Stegostoma tigrinum: one gene and its partner. The protein of the gene in region 2 purifies or fractionates together with the protein of the main gene of each other region. This does not show direct contact. Links are inferred from orthologs where the notes say so. Each region holds a gene or a part of one and is shown on either strand. Other genes may lie near its edges.

Region 1 (7,417 bases), on a different chromosome or scaffold from region 2:
TATGTATTCAATATCCAATGGTATGTTCAGCAAATAACTGCAGAGGAATTCTAAGAGATTATCTCCAGTCAACACTGAGTTCTGAGATTGTTGACCAGGTTGCGAACATGAAAATGTTTGAATGTCAAATCAAGTTCAGTTTATTATCTATGGAAAATTCATTTTGAGCTATTTTAAATGTATAAATTAATTATAACCATGAAGAATAAATCACGGGCATCTAACTTGATTATTTTAATATATGAAATGGTTTTAATCAATGAGGCAGTAAAACCATAACATTGACAAGGAATAAGTAATGAGAAAACACAGCAAAGAGATTAATTACTCCCATCATACATATATATCATGTATTCATCAACTCATTATAAGTGTTTGTGTATAAAGGTGTAAACAAGTTCAAGAAACAATTTGTCCTACATCTGAGGGATTATGCCCATTTCCCTGAGTGCATCGGATGATAATACTGAGTCAAGGGGTGATTTTCGCTGTTCATGGCATCTTCACTTTTCTCAAGAACAGATTACATCAAGAGAGATTTGCACATCAAATGGCTTCCCTTTCTGGTTCAACAATTCAAACAGTCTCCTTTTCTAAGATAACAATACAAAGAGAGACATCAAACAAGCATCTTATTCTCTACTAAAGTCATATATAAAGGTTTCATGATTGTGGGATCAATTCAAAAGGACTTAAGTTTTCTGACATTATAATCATGTATATGCCTTGATTGCCAACACTCTATCCTGCTCGCTTCAACCATTCAACTTATTTTAAACTGGTGACTATTCCAATATTCACATCATGAATCGTCACAAGAACAATATCATTAAGTGCTTTTTTTCCATAAAATCCATAATTAGTTCTTTCATTTTGTTTTCCTTCCTAGTTGCATGGTACTAAAAGCTGAAGAGAAATGAACAAAGGTGGCATAAACACAGAGGGGTCATTTGTCTTTCTTGGTGTGAAGGTTGTCATGTTATGCATACACTTAATGCATCAATAAAATCATAACATGTAGGGGGAAAAGTAGGACATTCAGACCATTGAGCCTGCTCTGCCATTCAATGAGATCGCAGCTGATCTGATAATCCTCAACTACACCTTCTTGCCTTTTCTCCAAATCTTTGATTTCCTTATTGAATAAAAATCTGCTGATCTTAGCCTTGAATTTACTTAACCACCTAGCCACAACAGCCTCTACAGTAAAGAATGCTGCTAAAGCTCTGAGAGAAGAAATTCCACCTCACACTATGCATCCATTTTAAGGTGTCTTGATGCAAGTCTTTCTGCCTTAGCCTCAGCCCAATGAGACTGCATCTGACTAGCACTGTCTGAGTTGGTCCTCCACAGCAGTGACTTGCCTGGCACTCATCTGGACTGCAAACAGGGAGTTTGCAATGAAGAGCGAGCCTCAAGTAAAGCTGTGCTGCCAGTGCCTTGGTCTCGATGTTGCATACACTGAAGCATGATTACTATGCAGTTATCTTCCTGCACCCCTTGTAACTGGGTGTGGTAAGACGTCTTATCAGGTTCCAATCAGGCAGTAAGCAGCAGGGAAACTAAATGGTATGTTGGCCTTTACACAAGAGGGTTTGAGTCCAGGAGCAAGAAAGTTTTACTGTAGCATTGCTGAGAGCACACTGCTGTATTATTATTCCCTCAGAGGGTGGTGAACTTTGGAATTCTCCACTGCAGAAGGGAGGCCAAGTCACTGAATATGGTTAAGACAGAAATAGATTTCTAGAAATTATAGGCATTAAGGATATGAGGAGAGAATTTAACATTGAGATAGAGGATCAGTCATGATCACACTGAATGCAGACCAAGCTCAATGGGCCAAATGGCCTACTCCTACTCTTATTTTCTGTATGTTTCTAATTTCCGAGAAACCACCTCTCTGCACCAGCATGGACCGACCCTTACCCACCACGACATTCCATCAGAGCATACGCACTTGGCTGTTGTCCAACAAAAAAAGCAACAAACAAAAACCTTTTCATGACATCCTTACACAACAATATGTTCAAATCTGCAAACAGCTCTTTCAAATCTGTCAACCTTCCCTGAAGGGGTCAGAAGTTTTGCTTTTGGTCAATTAATACCCCACAAAACATTAAGTGGCATCAGGGCAGTTGGTATGGGCAGTGAGTGACACTTTGGATGGCAGGATGGGACAACCTGCAATATGCCCTTTGTCTGTTTGGCAGCCAGCCAGTGCAGCTTCCCTTTAAGGGGCAGCCTGTATTTAACAACCAAAGGCTAATTGGAAAATGTGCTAGTCTGTCATCTGAACAGACTCCCCCACTGTGCATGTACCCATTGCTTCTGGATTCTAGGGTCAATCAATGGTTCTAACTGCTGGGTCTGATACAGAAATTATTTCTCCTGAAGGGGTCTCCAACATTGCAATGGTTCATCTGCACTTCAATACTTGAGGATACAGTAAACAAACACAGGAATGGAGAGAAGCCATTTGCCTTACAGATGTGGTCCACGAGGAAGGGGGTGCTTTCCCAGGTGGCTGTAGATGTCAGCAGCTGTGGCCTGCTGCAAGACACTAAGGCTTGAGGCATTGCAGCACAGACATGGTCAGAGAGCTGATCCTCTCCCCGTAGACATTATTTTGTGGGTCTTGCCTTCTTCCAGCTGGATTTTTGTGTTCACCCTTTCATAAGATGTGCTTTGGTTGAGGAGAAGACAACTGGGATTACTGCTGGTGCTGATGGTGTCAGTGCTGCCATTCATCAGAGGTTCGAGCTGGGGTGCTGCATATCTTGCTCACATGTCGTGTTGGAGGTTGGCAGTTGGCAAGTGCGTTTGAAGGAGATGCAAATGGTAGGTCAGCAAAGAGACTTCCAGAAAGTTGACAAAGAGAAGACATGCTTTGAACAGCACGACTGGAGCTCTTCAATTTCACTGATCAAAGCCTTGCCAGCCTGTCAATTTCACTGAAGAAGCTGTGCCAGTTGTTCACTTGCTCAGCGATCCTGAAAACAGGTATTCCGGCTGGAAAACCCAGAACTGAAGATTCCAGATATACACCATGAGCAATTTGAATGTTTTAATTATAGCTGCACAGATATTCCTTGCTCATCTTCAGTCATAGCCTTGTGAAAGTTGCAGAAGGATGGGATGATGTCAGGAGCCCTATCCAATTCAGTGTCACTTTTAGGGGATTCAGTTCCCAGACTTGTCCAAAACCAATGGCCCTTTGCCTGGGAAAAATCATCTATATTACCATCACCACCACAACCCCAGCCCGTTTGTACTTAGCAATTGAAAAATTGCCTGTAGTGTGCCTGTAGAAATTTCCATTTGCGTTGGTGGCAGTCAAGGCTTTTGATAGAAGCTAAGACTTTGTGGAATAAAGCTCCATTGTTTCTACATTTGCAATGAGCTTGTCTGAAGCAATGTTGGTGGTCAAGATGGAGAGGTCAGAACTGAGAAATGTCAGGAGTACTTAATGCCACGGGAAAGGCATGGTTCCATTGCTATAAGAATGTGGGTATTTATGGAGTCACGGAGTTATACAGCCTGAAAACAGATCCTTCAGTCCAACCAGTCCATGCCAAATATAATCCCCACCTGCCTGCTCCTGGCCCATATCCCTCCAAACATTTCCTATTCATATATCCATCCAAATGTCGTTTAAACATTGTAATTGTACCCACATCCACTACTTCATCAGGAAGTTCATTCCTCACGCAAACCACCCGCTGTGTGAAAAATTTGCTTCTTATGTCTTTTTTATATCTCTCTCCTCTCACCTTTAAAATGTGCCCCCTTACTTTGAAATTCTCAATCTTAGGGAAAAGACAAGTACCATCAACTCAATCGTCACCTCTCATTGTTTTATGAACTTCTGTCAGGTCACCTCTCAACTTCATATGCTCCAATGAAAAGTGTCGAAGCCTGTCCAACCTTTCCTTGTAATTCAAACCTTCCATCACTGGCAACATCCTGGCAAATCTCTCCTGAACACTTCAGCTTGATAATATCCTTCCCATAACTGAGTGTCCAGAACTGGACGCTGTATTCCAGAAGAGGCCTCACCAATATCCTGTATAACCTCCACATAATGTTACTGGCAATTTTGAACAGGTTTTGCAGATGGTAAGTGAAAATCATAACAGTATTTTTAAAAAGTTTTGAATTAGCTGTACCACTGCCAGGAATACCAGGAAAAGCCATATTTCTGAGGGAGGGAATCAGGAAGTACACCTGTTCAGAAACCTATCAGGTGTTGTAAACACCTGCAGAACAGGAAGCACCTCACCTGTTGCTATGGTTTCACTCTGTAACAGGCAACACCTGTACCTATGTTCTGCTAGCTTCAGTGAAAGGAGGAGGGGAAATAATCTTGCATCGGCTCTGCTTACAGGCTTGCGTTCGATGATAATTTTGTAATCCAGTTGTTAAATATTAACCAGCTGGTTCAACATTTTGTCTTCCACTTCACTTATCGGCAAAGGCAGGAGAAGTTCACAAACAACAATGGTAAGCTTTGGGCTTTTAAGTCCAAATTTCTAATTTATGTTCATATCTATATTTTTTAATACAAGTATACTGATGACTTATAAATAAGGTATATAAATATACTGCGTATAGAAGCTTTTACGAAAAGTGCAAAGCAAGAGGTGGAGAACCTAGGAAGCATAATTGTACTGTAATCCGAAAAGACTGGAGATTTTGGGCCTACTTTAGTTTTCCTCCAGGTTCAGCAAAACATATTTTTCCACAGGTATTTACACGTATGAAGAGAATTGTCGTAAAATTTGTAAAAGGACCTTGCTCAAAATATTCGATGATTTGTTATAAAAATCCATTCAGCAAAGGCCTAGCTGAGAAAATGTGGTGTTTTGCATATGGGCTACTACTTTGGGTACCCCTCCCTCACCAAAGCATTAATGGCTCTTTATTGTTTTGCTGTTATACCAACTGAATCACAATTTGCATTACTCCCAGTATAATGCAATAAATATCAAACACAACAAATTACTGTTGCATTGGCTTTTGGATTCAAAATTGTAATCTTTGTCCAGATTTGCCCCTCTTTGCTTTCCCCTTTTCCTGAAGTTGCTGCTTTACACTGGGTGTGACCCCACTATCAAAAATAGCCCTTCATGGTTGTCCAAATGACCCCATTCCAGGTGTCAGGTTGTTTCATCACTACAGGATCACATTTAATCCTGAATCTGTTTTCACCCAAATTTCCCACATATTTTCCCGCAGGAATTATTAGTGATCAGGATCAGGCTCTGTGGATAATATGTTTTTCGTTACCACCCTGGGGACATTGGTACCACTCAGATTGCCTCCCTACTCCAAAACAATGCCAGCTGAGACAGGTTGGATCAGCCCAGGAAGCTGAGGAATTTAGGACCATTCCATGTGTATGATCCAGCACCTCAGAACAAGGTGAAGTTATCGTATAGGGAGAGGGAAGTAAGAGGGGTGAATGTTTGTTTCTTTATGATGAGCCCAACTTCCTGTAGGCCATGTGGGTCTCTCAGAAATATCTGTTGAAAGTCATAGCTGTTAAATTTGATAAGGGTGAAATTCTCAATTATAAACATAAATTATAGCAGAAACATAAACACAAATATACATAGGCCCCAGGGACATTAAAGTGACATTAATATGTTCTCTGTTCTGACCTTTCTTTCACTATCTTTCACTTTTTTCTCATGTACTTTATTCTATGTTTCTCATTGTCTCTTTGTAGGTACAGAATTTATAACAAAAATAAAACTCTTCATGTAAGGAGTGCTGCTCTGAATATTTCTAATAGAGGACTTTGAGTACAACTATAACTAGTAGAACATCCTGGTCTCCACAGAGTCTTAAAACTAAGGTACCAATAGTGCAGACGCTGGATATTTGGTCTGGACTGAGCAGCATGGTGTTCAACACAAAGTCTTTATTGAAGTGAAACTTAAGATGTCTGCCTCTAGGCTGATTGCCTCATCTTAGAAGTCACATGACAATAGCACACTAGGACAGACATTTATATATGGTTGCATTTCAATCCAATTACCCTCTTATTGTTCTACAAAAAAGGTATGTATTGTCACGCAGGTAGTTTTAGATAACCAAATCACCAACTATATACAGTAATATTCTCATGCCTTAGCACTTCATTATTTTCACCAGTCTCTGTGTATGCATTGGATACATAGTCCTGAAATCATGCTAGTCTCTCCATGGTATGTGCACATGCTGTCATAATTGGCAGTTCATTCTCCGTGATGTCCCTTCGGCAGGAAGTGTTATTTGGATTGCTGCAGTAGTTGTTGTGCTGTTTCTGTTTTTGTGTTGCTGTGGACCTCAGTATCTGATGGTTGATGTGTAGGTGGTGCTTCATCTCTTCCCAATCAGCTGCCTGCAGTATTGGAACAGCTTCTCAGCCAAGTGTACGTGCCTGTGGTTGCAACAGTATATCTGGCAGCTCACTTCCACCACCTGTGAAGTGGGTTATATCTGCTCCATGCTGGTTTCAAGTTGCCACTTGGGCTGGCTTTTGTTGAATATTTGTACCCTGACTGGATCTTGCAATGTTTTAACAGTCTTGGCAAAATAAAATTTGGTTTTCTGCCAGTTGATCGTGCTTTTTCACTCACACCTGTTACTATTTCTGGCTTCCATTTTTTTTTTTTGCTTTTGGAACAGTAATTTGGGTGTGGATTGACTTTAGTCTTTGCACTGGACTACTTTCCAAGCCCTCAGTATGTGTGCTTCTCCACTCGAGGATTGCTGTGTGCACATCTGGGCAGGATTTACTTGATTTCTTTATGATTCCTTTAGAATTTTCATTGCCACCTCAAGCCTTTCCTTTTGACTCTGGATAACGTGGGGATGATGTGTCAGATTGAATTTCCCGAATTTTTTATGAAGCTACTGAATTCTTCACTGGCAATAACATTGGGAGTAGAATAGTGTGTAAATTGAATATTCAACACACACCATTATTGAACATAGCAGGTCCACTACCAATGAGTCAGAATCTTACTCTGCTGTGACAAGGTAATCAGTTCCTGAGTGTGATAAGATCTAATTCCACCTTCATCTATGGTTTATCTGGGATGTCATCAACAATGCTCTAGTTTGCTTAGCTCAATATTATTTACAAGCTCTGTCCTGCCCAATGTGGTCCCTTCTTCTGTTACTCATGTTTGGCCAATACAGCATGTCTCTCACCTTCCTCAGACTTGACTCAATTCTTCAGTGACCTGAATGGATGCACTTTAACATCTCTCCTCTCAAATCCTTCAAGATAATGACTATTTCCTTTATGCAATAGGCCACCTTGGGCTGTCAATTCACCTCTGTATACCCAAAATGCTGTGGTACTGTCCGATGCTCACCGGCTATCCTTTATCACTACTTCTTGGAACAGTGGGAGATTTGCATCTTG
Region 2 (8,031 bases):
GATTACAGGTGGCAAACAGGGGGAGAAAAGGGGGTGACAAAGAGGGAGAGGGGGTACTTGCAACCTTAGGTTTTGCACCATAGAATGGTACCTTTCAGTCACCATGATACCTGTGACAGCTCTCAGGAAAAGCAGCTTAGCACATCCTAAAACAGTGCATTTCTAATTTCTCCAGACATCCACACGTGAATCTGTCCCTGTCACACAGTATATATGCTAAATCTTCACTGTGTAAAACACCTTGTGCTCAGTGCACCTTCGGTCCTTTATTATTAACTTGTGCCTCCTGCCCTTCCAACCATCTGCTAATGTGAACAGGATTTCTCTGCCTACGAATTGGGTCACGTTATGAACTATCGCTTTTGAGAAGGGTGAGCGAACACCCCAGCTTCTGCAAAACAAAAACAGGAATTGAAGAAACACAGGTCTGACTTCTACATAGAGATAAGAATTGAATTCTGGTATGACTCTGCAGAACCTTTTGTAGTTCATGCACAACACTCAGAAACACAGTCATGAGCATGGAAACAGACCACTCAGATCCAAACTCAAAGCTCTGCAAACACTCAATTCAGATAATATGCTTCCTTTTTATCCTTTGAGCCAAGATTAGACAACTTCCTACTTGATACTAAATTTGCCAGATCTTCACCCACTCACTTAACCTATTGACATCCCTCTGTAACTCCCATACGTCCTTTTCACAACTCCTTTTCTGATCTACCTGTAGGCCATCAGCAAGTTTAGCACCCACGCTGTCTGTTCCTTCATCCAAATCATTCATAGAAATTGTAAAAAGTGGAAGCCCCAGGACAGCTCCTGTGGCGTACCACTCGTTCCATGTTGCCAACCATAAAATGACGCATTTATCCCCACTGTTTTCTGAAGCCAGGCAATCTCCTATCTGTATATTACCTCTGACACTATGTGCTTTTTATTTTCTGCAATAACCTTTAGTACGCAATCTTATCAAATGTCTTCTGGAAATCCAAGTGCACTACATTCAGCTTCCCTTTCTCTACCGCTGGTGTTACATCGTCAAAGGACTCCAATAAAATGATTAGAAAGGATTTCTCTTTCTCAAAACCACATTGATTTGGTCTGAATTTCCTAAATGTCTTCAATAATCGTCCCTACCATAAATGTTAGGTCAAATGGCCTTTTGTTCCTGCCATTTTTTGTTTTAAATAAAGTTACATTCACTATTTTCCAATCCAATAGAAACTGTCTGAATTACAGAGCTATGAAAAATTAAAACCAATGGATAACTATTAGCCATTTTGAAAGACATTTAGATGAAGCCCTGCAGGGTCCAGGAATTGTCAGCCCACAGTTTCACCAATTTGCTCAATAGTACTTCCCTGGTGATTGTAATTTTTCTGATAGTCTCTACCTTCCATTTTCTGATTGAAAGCCATTTCTAAGATGGCCTGCAATCATGTTGCAATTGAAACCTTTGACTTATATTGCTTCTCCTTCTTTCCCCTGCCAAAGTGTATCACTTCATGTCTAACTGCTTTGCATCGCACTTGTCACAGACCAAACAAAATTTACAGGATGTAGACATCACTGGCATGACCAGCATTTATTGTCTGTACCAAGCTGAGGTAGTAGGGAGCTGCCTACTTGAAAACCTAAAGTCCATTTTGTGGAGGTACATGCACACTCGTGAAAGGGTGGAACTTCCACAATTCTGACTCAGCAACACTGAAGTAACGGTAACATATGTCCAAGTCAGGATGGTAAGTGGCTTGGAGGGAAGCTTGCAGGGGTGGTATTCCCGTACATCAGCTATGCTTGTCATTCGAGATGGAATTTTGAAGGTGCTAAGGAATACTGGTGAATTTCTGCAGTGCAGCTTACGGATAGTACACACTGCTGCTACTGACCATTGGCATTAGAGGGAGTGGCTGTTTCCTGCAAGCTACCTTGTCCCAGTTAGTGTCAAGCTTAAATGTTCTTGGAGCTGCATTCGTCCAGGCAAATAGGGAATATTCCATCACATTCCTGACCTTGCCTTTTAGATGGCGGACAGGCTTTGGGGAGTCAGGAAGTGAGTTAGTCACCGCAGGACTCCTCATCTGCTCTGGTAGCCACTGCATTTATGTGGTGAGTCCAGTTGAGTTTCTGTGCAATGGGTAACCCAAAGACATTAATAGGGGTTTCAGGGACAGTTACATCATTGAATGGCAATCGTTCAACTCTTTCTTGTTGGAGATGGTAAATGTATGGCACAATTGTTACTTGCCACTCATCTGTCAGAAAGGATGTGTTGCTAAAGGTAAGCATATAGATGCAGCAGGCAATAAAGGAGGGAAGTAGTATGTTGGCTTTTGTTGAGAGAGGTTTTGATGCACACTAGGTCAATGCAGCCTTTTTTGTCAAGAACAATCATTATTTTCACCTCACCCCAGTCTTCCCATTTCACCAGCCTACCCACATCCCGAAGGCTGTTTTGCAAATTTTGAAATTGTGCGAGTGCACGCTCTTATGCCAATGAAACAGTGATGCTCAATCACGTTCATCGTTACCGTTTTCCGATCGGCCGACTAACCTTACCCCCGAGTATTCCAGCATTTATCCCGCGGCGCTTGACTGAATGCCTTTTAGGCATCCAGTCCACACTGACATATCTACAGCATCGTCCCCGCCTTCAACATTTCAAGCAAGTTAGTCAAACACAGTCTGCCTTCACAATTCCCTGCAGGCTTTCCTTTATAAACGCACACTGGTCCGGATCGTTGTTAACTGGGGCCCGGGACTAAGCCACCTCCCCCCACGCCTCAGTCACCCACCCAACTCCCTGGTACTACCCTCTCTCCTTATCCCCCATCCACTGGAACTTACCCTCCCAGGACACTCACCACTACCGCCTCCCCTACCCATTGTACCCTAACATATTCAACACCCTCCCTCAGTCACTCACTCACTCACTCACTCACCTCTCCAGCGCAGCCTCTCTCCGGTCTCGGTCGATTCCCACCCTCTCAATGCGCATGCCCTATGCCTCGTGACGTCATCACCACCCGCGCCGCACGACGACATTGAACGCCCCGTTCCGGGCTGCGCGTAGCTGGACCGCGTTGTCGGGGCGTGTGCCCTGACGCTGGTCTCACTCCCCAGCTCCAGCTCCCAGGATCCCCAGCGTGGCCACGGCAAGATGGCGGTGCTCCCCTGAGCAGTGCGGCCCAGTCTCGGGCCTGAGAGGTCCATTTACCGTGAGTAATTCTAGCCCCCGCTCCCCACCTTCGGGACGACCCTCCAACCAGCACAAACTCGTTCCTCACCCCCCCACCCCCAACCCCTCTCACGGCAATCTCAACACCCTCTTCCCTCACACCGGTTGTTACCCCTTAACGTCACACGTCCTTTCCACCTTCCCCGCCCACAACCTCTCTGTCTTTCCCATTCCCCCCATCTTCTCTCTTCTCGCCCCCCATCTTCTCTCTTCTCGCCCGCCCCCCATCTTCTCTCTTCTCGCCCGCCCCCCATCTTCTCTCTTCTCGCCCGCCCCCCATCTTCTCTCTTCTCGCCCGCCCCCCATCTTCTCTCTTCTCGCCCGCCCCCCATCTTCTCTCTTCTCGCCCGCCCCCCATCTTCTCTCTTCTCGCCCGCCCCCCATCTTCTCTCTTCTCGCCCGCCCCCCATCTTCTCTCTTCTCGCCCGCCCCCCATCTTCTCTCTTCTCGCCCGCCCCCCATCTTCTCTCTTCTCGCCCGCCCCCCATCTTCTCTCTTCTCGCCCGCCCCCCATCTTCTCTCTTCTCGCCCGCCCCCCACCTGAAAGCGAAGGTGGTAAGCATTGGTTGCACTTGGACCAGTTGACCCAGGTGAGTTCTCTGGGTAGGTATGAAGAGAGGTTGGAGAGAAGCTGGAAAAAGATCTATGTTGAAAGTGAATACAGCAAAGAGTGTCCAACGATGTTTAATCTGAAACACTTGGTTGATTTTTTTTGTGTTTGATTTATTTTTGTCACAAAAATCTTGATACAGTGACAAGTTTTGTTTTGGCTGCATTTCAGACAGATCATATACAAAGCGCATTAGGGTAATAGAACAAAGTGAAGAATACAAAGTTAAGGCTGCAAATAAGGTACACAAAATGCTAGATCAACATTTAAATATAAAATTTTAGAGATCCATTCAGAAGTCTAATAAGTGGCAAAAAACGCAGTTCTTGAATCTGTTAGTACATGTGTTTCAGCTTTTGTATCTTCTGCTTGACGCAAGAGGTTGGAAGAGATTATAAGCTGGGTGGGAGGGTGTCTTTGATTATGTTGGCTGCCTTTCAAAGGCAGCAAGAAGTGCAGATGGAGTCAATGCATGGAAGTTTGGCTTGCATGATGGATTGGGCTGTATTCATAAATCTGTGCAGTTCCTTAATGGCTGTGGGCAGAGCAGTTGCCATACCATCTGTTTAGAATGCTTTCTATGTTGGATGGTCATGATCAAAACGACAAAGGTATGCATGGGCCTCTTTCTCTTGTTAAGAGTGAGGATGTTGGAGAAATGCATTAAGTCGGTTGGCAGTGTGGAAAAGAAAACCTGGGGTGCTTTTGCATTGCAGGTTGACTCTGTAAACCCACAAACCTGTTTCTTTGAAGTGAAATATATAAATGGTCCTCAATTATGGTTTCAAGAAAAGATCTGATTTTTTTTAACCACATATTGTTCAATGAAAAACATCTGACTAGCCCTAACTTTCAAGCTAGCTAAATCCAAGTCGATTTGTGACCTTATGGATGCAAATATGCACTCTGGTATTGGTAGAGAGGTGAAGAGGGTCCTTGGAGACATTCTTGAATAGATCAGCCAATCAATCATAAGATCCCAGAAATAGGAGCAGTGGTTGGCAGTTCAAAGTATCAAGGCTCCGCCAACATTCAGAAAGAGCGTGGCTTGAATTTTTATATTCAGTCAACGGATTTGGGCTTTGGCTAGTCTAGCATTTATTGCCCTTGAAAAAGCAATGGTAAATGCCTTGAACCTCTGCAGTCCTTGGTGGTGTAAATACATCCACAGTGTTGTTAGGGAGGGAGTTCTGGGATTTTAACCTAGTGACCATGAAGGAAGAAATTTCATACTAAATTATGATGGTTTAGAGGGGAACTAGCAGATTGTGGTGTTCCCTTGCATTTGCTGCACTTGGCCCTGTCATTGGAAGAGATCGTGGATTTGGAAAGTGCTGACGAAGGAGTCTTGATGAGTTCCTGCACTGCATCTTTCAGATGATACACACTGCTGCCAATGCGAGAGGGAGTGAATGTTGAAGTTGATGGATGGGGTGCAACTCGGTGGACTGCTTTGTCTTTGTTGTTGAGTGTTGTTGGAGCTAAACTCATTCAGCCAAGTTGAGAGAATTCTATCACACTCTATCTTGTGACATGTAGATGGTGGACTGGCTTGGGGAATTGGAAAGTAGCTACTTGTTGCAGAATTCCTAACCTCTGACCTGCTCTTGTAGCCACAGTATTTATAGCTATTTTCTGATCAACTTGTTCAGAGGTGTGTTACATATCTCTGCAGCAGTTGAGACTTGAACTTGGGCATCCTGGCTCAGGTACGGAAGCAAAAGCACTAGCCACAATGTTCATATGGTTAGTCCAGTTCATTTTCACTCAATGGTGACCCTGGGGATTTCAGTGATGGTAATACCATTGAATATATAGGTGCAATGGTTCGATTCTTTCTTCATCGTGTGAGTATACACAATGGTACTGAAATTTGCATGATCATCAGTGAGCATCCCAAACTCTGACTTTATGATGGAGTGAAGGGCATTAATGAGGCAGCTGAAAATGGTAAGGCTGCGGATACTACCCCAAAGAGCTCCTGCACTGGAGCTGGGATGACTGACCTCAAACGAGCGTAACGATCTTCATTTGTCGTCAGGGTATGATCCAACCAGCAGAGAGTTCCTCAGTTCTTGTTGATTCCAGTTTTGCTTGGGCTCCTTGATGCTATATATGATGCTGGGGATCTCAGGTGGAAGTTGAGCTGGATCATCTACTCAGTATTTCCAGCTGATGATTGGTGCAAATGCTACAGGCTTATCTTTTGCACTCGAGCTGGGATCTTCCATCATTGAGGATGGGAATATTTATGGAGCTGTCTCCTCAAGTTGTTAGTGAATATTCCAGTACCCCTCAGCTGCGTGTATTAGGAGTGTGGAGGTTAGATTGGCTCTATTGGTTACTGCATTGAAGTTGTAGATTTGCTCACCAAGACGGTGTGTTTGGTTGCAGGCACTTTGTCACCCTGCTAGGTAACATCATCAGTGTGTCTCTGGTGGAGCATTGGCATTCTGTCCCGCTTGATATTGATATGCTTTGGTTTATTGGGTGGTTGGCATTATTTCTGGTTCTGTTTTTCAATGGTTTGTATATCGGGTCCAGTTCAATGTGTGTGTTGATGGAGTTCTGGTTGGAATGCTAGGCCTCCAGGAATTCTCTGGCTCGCGCTATTATTGGATGTGTTGTCCCTGTCGAATTAGTGTCCTTATTTGTCTGTGTGTACTGACACCAGTGAAAATTGGTCGTGTCTCTCGGTGGCTAGTTGGTGTTCGTGTGTCCTTTATAGTCAGTCTTCTTCCAGTTTGGCCTATGTAATGTTTTTCACAGACCTTGCATGGTATTTTGTACACTATTGGTGGTGGGTATGAGATCATTTGCATTCATCAGTTGCTGTTGCAGGGTGGCCAACATTCTATGTGCCTTTCAAATTATTGGCTGTGCTCTGGTGCTAACTTTGTGATTCATGAACTGGGACACCAAGTCCCTCTGTTCTGTAGCATTCAGCAGTAAGACTAGAAGAAATATGACAGGAGTAGGCCATTCAGTCTGTTGAACTACTCCGCCATTGAATAGCCTCTCTGTCTCTGCCCATTGAAGTAATATTCTTCTGTTTTTCCTGCTAAGGTACACAACCTTACATTTTCCCCCATCATGTGACTGGCAATTTTTTTTGCTGGCTCATTGAATCTGTTCCTTTGAAGACTCTATCCTCCCCCACATGTGCTTTCCTTTGTATCTTGGTAACATTGGCCACAAATTTGGCTACGTGTTATTTGTCATTTCATCATGGTGGTATTATGCACTGATTGCCCACACACTTCACCGGTTATAGTTTGACCATTTTTCCAGACTGCCCATTCCTTATTAGCCAGTCCACAGCATATCACCCCCAAAACTGTGTCCTCTCAACCGATGCAGTTACCTTTTTTTGTGGCAGCTAAAGATACCTCTTTAAACCCCAAAAACACTACATTTACAAGTTCATCTTTATCCACCTGCTTACATCTTATAAGAAATTTAACAAATTTGTCAAACATTGGGTGGTATGGTGCGTCAATGGTTAGTACTGCTGCCTCAACACCAGGGACTGAAGTTCGATTCTAGCTTTGGATGACTATGCGTATGGAGTTTGCACATTCTCTCTGAATCTGTGTGGATTTCTGCCAGGATCTCTAGTTTCCTCTCACAGTTCAAAGATATGCAAGTTATGTGGATTCGCCGTGCTAAATTACCTCATAATGTGCAGGCTAGGCGGATTGGCTATTGGAAATGAGAGATTATGGGGATAGGGTGGGGGAATGGGAGTGGGTGAGATGTTATTTGGCGCAGATTCGATGGGCCAAATGGCCTGTTGCCATACAGTAGGAATTCTATAATTCTATAAACATTATTTTCCTTTCACAAAAACATTTTGTTTTTGCCTGATTTTATTTTTCAATTTCCATCTAGTACTGCCTCAGTGGATTCTAGCATTTCCCCAGTAATAGATGTTGCACTACCTGACCTATATTTTCCTGCATCCCATCTCCCTCCTCTCTTGAAAAGTGGTGTGACATTTGTGATTTCCAATATAATGGGACTTTCCAGAATCTAGGAAATTTTAGGCGCTCACACCTTATGCATCTGCTGTCTCTACATTCATTCCTTTTAACACCATAGGTCCAGCAGACTTATCAGCCTTTAGTTGCATTTTTTTGGTACTTTTTTTCTTAGTGTTGATTATTTTAAGTTCCTTCTTCCC

What was found.
Region 1: the proteins of synaptosomal-associated protein 23-like (region 2) and si:ch73-234b20.5 purify together in Homo sapiens (affinity purification with western blotting; 3 studies listed by BioGRID and IntAct, with this or other methods). This does not show direct contact. The link is inferred for Stegostoma tigrinum from reciprocal best matches to the Homo sapiens genes SNAP23 and VAMP8.

Annotation. Positions count from the first base shown.
Region 1 is NC_081354.1:77,936,702-77,944,118, reverse strand, and holds the start of si:ch73-234b20.5 (vesicle-associated membrane protein 8), read left to right. Parts: upstream 1-4,342; 5' UTR 4,343-4,497; coding exon 4,498-4,500; intron 4,501-7,417. UniProt on the Homo sapiens protein: SNAREs, soluble N-ethylmaleimide-sensitive factor-attachment protein receptors, are essential proteins for fusion of cellular membranes.
Region 2 is NC_081363.1:85,179,973-85,188,003, reverse strand, and holds the start of synaptosomal-associated protein 23-like, read right to left. Parts: upstream 3,023-8,031; 5' UTR 2,943-3,022; intron 1-2,942. UniProt on the Homo sapiens protein: Essential component of the high affinity receptor for the general membrane fusion machinery and an important regulator of transport vesicle docking and fusion.